Saccharomyces cerevisiae S288C: one gene and its partner. Changing the gene in region 2 together with the main gene of any one other region gives a genetic interaction. Each region holds a gene or a part of one and is shown on either strand. Other genes may lie near its edges. The genes, in order: ATP5 and PDC5.

Evidence for each region.
Region 1: mutations in PDC5 (region 2) and ATP5 together harm fitness more than expected from each alone (negative genetic interaction), as found in Saccharomyces cerevisiae (2 studies listed by BioGRID).

What each region holds. Positions count from the first base shown.
Region 1 is NC_001136.10:1,057,629-1,060,955, forward strand, and holds ATP5 (F1F0 ATP synthase subunit 5), read right to left. Parts: upstream 1,187-3,327; coding exon 548-1,186; downstream 1-547. Other genes in the region: rRNA-processing protein BFR2, read left to right, coding at 1,999-3,327. UniProt on the Saccharomyces cerevisiae protein: Mitochondrial membrane ATP synthase (F(1)F(0) ATP synthase or Complex V) produces ATP from ADP in the presence of a proton gradient across the membrane which is generated by electron transport complexes of the respiratory chain.
Region 2 is NC_001144.5:409,012-413,243, forward strand, and holds PDC5 (indolepyruvate decarboxylase 5), read left to right. Parts: upstream 1-1,711; coding exon 1,712-3,403; downstream 3,404-4,232. Other genes in the region: bifunctional choline kinase/ethanolamine kinase CKI1, read left to right, coding at 1-1,182. UniProt on the Saccharomyces cerevisiae protein: Second most abundant of three pyruvate decarboxylases (PDC1, PDC5, PDC6) implicated in the nonoxidative conversion of pyruvate to acetaldehyde and carbon dioxide during alcoholic fermentation.

The DNA of each region.
Region 1 (3,327 bases), on a different chromosome or scaffold from region 2:
TGGGTAAAGGCAATGTCTCCGACTTCCCACGTTTGTATTTATTATCCATTTATATACATCAAGACATATTATTAAGTGTATAGGCGTGACTTTGACTATATATTTGATTTGTAACGAAAGAATACATCAAAATTCAACTATGAAATGGTTATTATTGTGCATGCACATCTTGAATTATCAAAAAGGTCTTAAATGTTCTTCGGACTTTCTTGAAATCTTCGAAAACTGATGAGAATTCTTCATTATTTTTTTTTTTCTTCTTTTATTATTTTTTATGTTTATTCCATATATACACTTATAATTTTTTTTTTTGCGATTAATATAAGTTTGCCTGGATACACGAACATATATATGATTAAAATGGTTGTCTCGAACAAAAAAATTCACTTTTTAGAGGGGTTTCTTATTTATTCGTATATGTACGTAATTTTGATGTTTAGGAAAAATTCACGGAAAAGAATATATATTTGAACAGAATCAAAAATTAGGAGGGAGGCAAAGAAAGTAACATCAAACGAGTTGAGCATATCCAACTATATTATTAACGTTAAATGCTGTCCTCTAAGACCTTATTCAGTTTTTGAATCTTTGTAGAAATGCTTAAGTCAACAGTCTTGTCACCAAGTTCTACAATCAAACCACCCTTAATCTCTGGCTTAACCACGTTTTCCAGCTTCAAAGATTTACCTTGCCCCACCAATTTGGAGGCGCTCAAAGCTTTTTCAATCCTCTTGAAAGATTTAGGATCCAATGGTTCAGCACTAGTCACTGTACCTTTAAGTAACCCGTTGTGAGCATCGTTTAAAACGCCAAAGTCAGACGCAATTTTTTCAAAACATCCCAGTCTGTTATTTTCGGAAAGAACCTTCAATAGGTTAACGACATAACCATCCAAATTCTTGTGAGTCTCCACGATGGCATCAATGACAGAATTTCTGTCCTTCAATGACAATGCAGGATTCAGTAATAAGTGACCTAATTTTGGATTCTTTTTGACTGTGCTTTCAACTTTTTGCAAAGATTGAAAGGCAGCATCAATAGAGGAGTTCTTTGCAGCGGCCTGATATAAAGCTGTTGCGTAAGTGCCCTCAACACCGAACAATCTCACCGGTGGGGGAGCAGCAGCTTTGGAAGCAGCAGCTCTTAAGCTTGATGCAAATGACCTGGTAAAGACTCTATTAAACATGATTGTCCACGGTTTAAAAATAATGCGGTAACTTGCTAATCGGTTCTTACTCTGCGGAAAAATATCTCAATGCCACAGTAGCCTGCTTAAATTTCCAAGTTGACTGAATTTTGTTTTCAATGAGATAAAAACTAGAAATACTGTACACAAAGTTAACAATTGGCGTTTGAAATTGTTCCTAGATAATTGAAAGTTTTACTATCTCGCCAAAAGATCACTTCATTATCTTTAATTCCTTGTTTTTCCCACCCGGGCCCGGGTAAATGATATTTCAAATATCAGCATCTTATTGGCCAGCACCGTCTCTCGAAAGTGTCCACTTTATGACGACGGCATAAAATATAACGATTTATTGGACGTAAGTAGTTTTATAAGTTACTAAACCAAGATTATTCCGGCAAAAAAATGAACTTTAAGAGATATCTGAGCGCTTCGTATTTCTTGGTAGTCCCTTATAATGTACTACATTTATGTAGACCAGGTTTGCAGCCAGATCTTACGGGAAAGAGATTTTACGGCTCCCAGTCCGAGCTTTTCCATATACTACTCTAATATACAATGCATTCTTAGATTTCTTAACTGCTGCATATGCTGTCTTTGGTCCTTTGCAAGCCTATTACTGCGGATTTAAGTTTTTTCCACTGATCGTTACCCGAATTTATGGGTTCTGAAAAATTAGAAGATGGAAAATTTTTCAATACGCGATGAGATGAGATAATTGTATATATGTAGTCGCATCTTGATAGGTATGCAGCGTACCATACATTGAGTAACAATAAGCACTGTTACCAATAAATATAGAGCAAAAAAAGATGGAAAAATCACTAGCGGATCAAATTTCCGATATCGCCATTAAACCGGTCAATAAAGACTTCGATATTGAAGATGAGGAAAATGCATCTTTATTTCAACACAATGAAAAAAATGGAGAAAGTGATTTAAGCGACTATGGAAATAGCAACACAGAAGAAACCAAGAAGGCGCACTATTTGGAGGTGGAAAAGTCTAAGTTAAGAGCAGAAAAAGGTTTAGAACTAAACGATCCAAAATATACAGGTGTTAAAGGTTCAAGACAAGCATTATATGAAGAAGTTTCCGAGAATGAGGACGAAGAAGAAGAAGAAGAAGAGGAAGAAGAAAAAGAGGAAGATGCTCTTTCATTCAGGACAGATTCTGAAGATGAAGAAGTAGAGATTGATGAAGAAGAATCAGACGCGGACGGCGGTGAAACGGAGGAGGCTCAACAGAAAAGGCATGCACTATCGAAACTAATTCAACAAGAGACTAAACAAGCTATTAACAAACTGTCTCAATCAGTTCAAAGAGATGCTTCGAAGGGTTATTCCATTTTACAACAGACAAAATTATTTGACAACATCATTGATTTGAGAATAAAACTACAAAAAGCTGTAATTGCAGCAAATAAGCTCCCATTAACTACAGAGTCCTGGGAAGAGGCTAAAATGGATGATTCAGAGGAAACAAAGCGTTTGCTGAAGGAAAACGAAAAACTGTTCAATAATTTATTCAATCGGTTGATAAATTTCAGAATAAAATTCCAACTTGGCGATCATATCACTCAAAATGAAGAGGTGGCGAAGCATAAATTGTCCAAAAAAAGATCTCTCAAAGAGCTTTACCAAGAAACTAATAGCTTAGACTCAGAACTAAAAGAGTACAGGACTGCCGTATTAAACAAGTGGTCTACCAAAGTTTCTTCTGCATCAGGTAACGCTGCTTTATCATCTAACAAATTCAAAGCTATCAACTTACCTGCAGATGTACAAGTCGAAAACCAATTATCCGATATGTCCCGTTTGATGAAAAGAACAAAGTTGAACAGGAGAAACATAACGCCTTTGTATTTCCAAAAAGACTGTGCTAATGGCAGGCTACCAGAATTGATTTCTCCCGTTGTCAAAGATAGTGTTGATGACAATGAGAATTCGGATGATGGGCTTGATATCCCGAAAAACTATGACCCAAGAAGAAAGGATAACAATGCCATTGACATTACCGAAAACCCATATGTTTTTGATGACGAAGATTTTTACCGTGTTTTACTAAACGATTTAATTGACAAAAAGATTTCCAACGCTCACAATTCTGAAAGTGCAGCAATTACAATCACCTCAACTAAT
Region 2 (4,232 bases):
GAATTGCAGATTTTGGCTAGGCTTTCATTGAAAAATATAGGTCCTTCCCTTTACGGCTGTTTTGTAAACGGTAGATTTGAGCAGTTTCTGGAGAATTCTAAGACTTTAACAAAAGACGACATTAGAAACTGGAAGAACTCTCAAAGGATTGCAAGGAGAATGAAGGAGTTACATGTAGGTGTTCCTCTCTTGAGTTCAGAAAGGAAGAACGGGTCGGCTTGTTGGCAAAAGATTAACCAGTGGTTGCGCACGATTGAGAAAGTCGACCAATGGGTGGGGGATCCTAAAAACATTGAAAACTCTTTATTATGTGAGAATTGGTCCAAGTTTATGGATATTGTCGATAGATATCACAAGTGGCTTATTTCTCAAGAACAGGGTATAGAGCAAGTCAACAAAAATCTTATATTCTGCCATAATGATGCCCAATACGGCAATTTACTTTTCACTGCTCCTGTGATGAACACACCGAGCCTATACACTGCACCTTCGTCTACATCATTGACTTCCCAATCAAGTTCCTTATTTCCTTCGAGCTCCAATGTCATTGTAGATGATATAATCAACCCGCCAAAGCAGGAGCAAAGCCAAGATTCCAAATTGGTCGTCATTGATTTTGAATATGCAGGTGCCAATCCCGCCGCATATGATTTAGCGAATCATCTTTCCGAGTGGATGTATGATTACAACAATGCTAAGGCCCCACATCAGTGCCACGCTGATAGATATCCCGATAAAGAACAGGTTTTGAATTTCTTATACTCTTATGTTTCGCATCTAAGGGGTGGTGCTAAGGAACCCATAGATGAAGAGGTTCAAAGACTCTATAAGTCAATCATTCAATGGAGACCCACTGTACAACTATTTTGGTCGCTCTGGGCCATCCTACAAAGTGGTAAATTAGAGAAAAAAGAAGCCTCCACTGCCATCACTAGAGAAGAAATTGGACCCAATGGAAAAAAATATATCATCAAGACTGAACCCGAATCCCCTGAAGAAGACTTTGTTGAAAATGACGACGAGCCTGAAGCTGGCGTCAGCATTGACACGTTCGATTATATGGCTTATGGTCGTGACAAGATTGCGGTCTTTTGGGGCGACCTCATTGGCTTAGGCATAATCACCGAAGAAGAATGCAAAAATTTCAGCTCTTTCAAGTTCCTCGATACTAGTTATTTGTAATACGTATACGAATTCCTTCAACAAAGGCCAAGGAAATAAAGCAAATAACAATAACACCATTATTTTAATTTTTTTTCTATTACTGTCGCTAACACCTGTATGGTTGCAACCAGGTGAGAATCCTTCTGATGCATACTTTATGCGTTTATGCGTTTTGCGCCCCTTGGAAAAAAATTGATTCTCATCGTAAATGCATACTACATGCGTTTATGGGAAAAGCCTCCATATCCAAAGGTCGCGTTTCTTTTAGAAAAACTAATACGTAAACCTGCATTAAGGTAAGATTATATCAGAAAATGTGTTGCAAGAAATGCATTATGCAATTTTTTGATTATGACAATCTCTCGAAAGAAATTTCATATGATGAGACTTGAATAATGCAGCGGCGCTTGCTAAAAGAACTTGTATATAAGAGCTGCCATTCTCGATCAATATACTGTAGTAAGTCCTTTCCTCTCTTTCTTATTACACTTATTTCACATAATCAATCTCAAAGAGAACAACACAATACAATAACAAGAAGAACAAAATGTCTGAAATAACCTTAGGTAAATATTTATTTGAAAGATTGAGCCAAGTCAACTGTAACACCGTCTTCGGTTTGCCAGGTGACTTTAACTTGTCTCTTTTGGATAAGCTTTATGAAGTCAAAGGTATGAGATGGGCTGGTAACGCTAACGAATTGAACGCTGCCTATGCTGCTGATGGTTACGCTCGTATCAAGGGTATGTCCTGTATTATTACCACCTTCGGTGTTGGTGAATTGTCTGCTTTGAATGGTATTGCCGGTTCTTACGCTGAACATGTCGGTGTTTTGCACGTTGTTGGTGTTCCATCCATCTCTTCTCAAGCTAAGCAATTGTTGTTGCATCATACCTTGGGTAACGGTGACTTCACTGTTTTCCACAGAATGTCTGCCAACATTTCTGAAACCACTGCCATGATCACTGATATTGCTAACGCTCCAGCTGAAATTGACAGATGTATCAGAACCACCTACACTACCCAAAGACCAGTCTACTTGGGTTTGCCAGCTAACTTGGTTGACTTGAACGTCCCAGCCAAGTTATTGGAAACTCCAATTGACTTGTCTTTGAAGCCAAACGACGCTGAAGCTGAAGCTGAAGTTGTTAGAACTGTTGTTGAATTGATCAAGGATGCTAAGAACCCAGTTATCTTGGCTGATGCTTGTGCTTCTAGACATGATGTCAAGGCTGAAACTAAGAAGTTGATGGACTTGACTCAATTCCCAGTTTACGTCACCCCAATGGGTAAGGGTGCTATTGACGAACAACACCCAAGATACGGTGGTGTTTACGTTGGTACCTTGTCTAGACCAGAAGTTAAGAAGGCTGTAGAATCTGCTGATTTGATATTGTCTATCGGTGCTTTGTTGTCTGATTTCAATACCGGTTCTTTCTCTTACTCCTACAAGACCAAAAATATCGTTGAATTCCACTCTGACCACATCAAGATCAGAAACGCCACCTTCCCAGGTGTTCAAATGAAATTTGCCTTGCAAAAATTGTTGGATGCTATTCCAGAAGTCGTCAAGGACTACAAACCTGTTGCTGTCCCAGCTAGAGTTCCAATTACCAAGTCTACTCCAGCTAACACTCCAATGAAGCAAGAATGGATGTGGAACCATTTGGGTAACTTCTTGAGAGAAGGTGATATTGTTATTGCTGAAACCGGTACTTCCGCCTTCGGTATTAACCAAACTACTTTCCCAACAGATGTATACGCTATCGTCCAAGTCTTGTGGGGTTCCATTGGTTTCACAGTCGGCGCTCTATTGGGTGCTACTATGGCCGCTGAAGAACTTGATCCAAAGAAGAGAGTTATTTTATTCATTGGTGACGGTTCTCTACAATTGACTGTTCAAGAAATCTCTACCATGATTAGATGGGGTTTGAAGCCATACATTTTTGTCTTGAATAACAACGGTTACACCATTGAAAAATTGATTCACGGTCCTCATGCCGAATATAATGAAATTCAAGGTTGGGACCACTTGGCCTTATTGCCAACTTTTGGTGCTAGAAACTACGAAACCCACAGAGTTGCTACCACTGGTGAATGGGAAAAGTTGACTCAAGACAAGGACTTCCAAGACAACTCTAAGATTAGAATGATTGAAGTTATGTTGCCAGTCTTTGATGCTCCACAAAACTTGGTTAAACAAGCTCAATTGACTGCCGCTACTAACGCTAAACAATAAGCTAATTAACATAAAACTCATGATTCAACGTTTGTGTATTTTTTTACTTTTGAAGGTTATAGATGTTTAGGTAAATAATTGGCATAGATATAGTTTTAGTATAATAAATTTCTGATTTGGTTTAAAATATCAACTATTTTTTTTCACATATGTTCTTGTAATTACTTTTCTGTCCTGTCTTCCAGGTTAAAGATTAGCTTCTAATATTTTAGGTGGTTTATTATTTAATTTTATGCTGATTAATTTATTTACTTTCGTATTCGGTTTTGTACCTTTAGCTATGATCTTAGCTAATTGAAGAGGGTGGTGTGATCTTTAACCATACCTTATTATCTTTCAGCTGCTTACCATTTTCTTATATTGATTTTTAGCGAAAGATTTTTATTCACAAGCTTTTTTTATCCTTAATGCTCGAATACTACAACAAAACAAAAAACATTAAACAGTTTTTAATTTTGTGAACAAACTGAATTACAAGGCCTTACATCTTATTTAGAATATATTAAGAAACAGAGGCCAACATGCCTTCTTAATTATATTGATATGGACCTCTGTCCTTCCTAAAAACGGGTTTTTGTTCGATGAAAAATCACCAGTAGAGCACCATATATGAATTTACAATCATTGTAGGGAAAAGAAAACTTGTTCTGCTTCGCCAATTGATTTCATTTCTTTTTTTCCTTTGTTTTTGTTGTATACTATTAATATGCGTAGTTCTTTGTCACTTAGTGGTTTTTTGTTTAATTTATAACGCGAAAGCTGCATACTAAAAATATAGAGATGAATGGAACTCCGAACAAGCAAGAGAGATATTATCTATCTCTGTTCC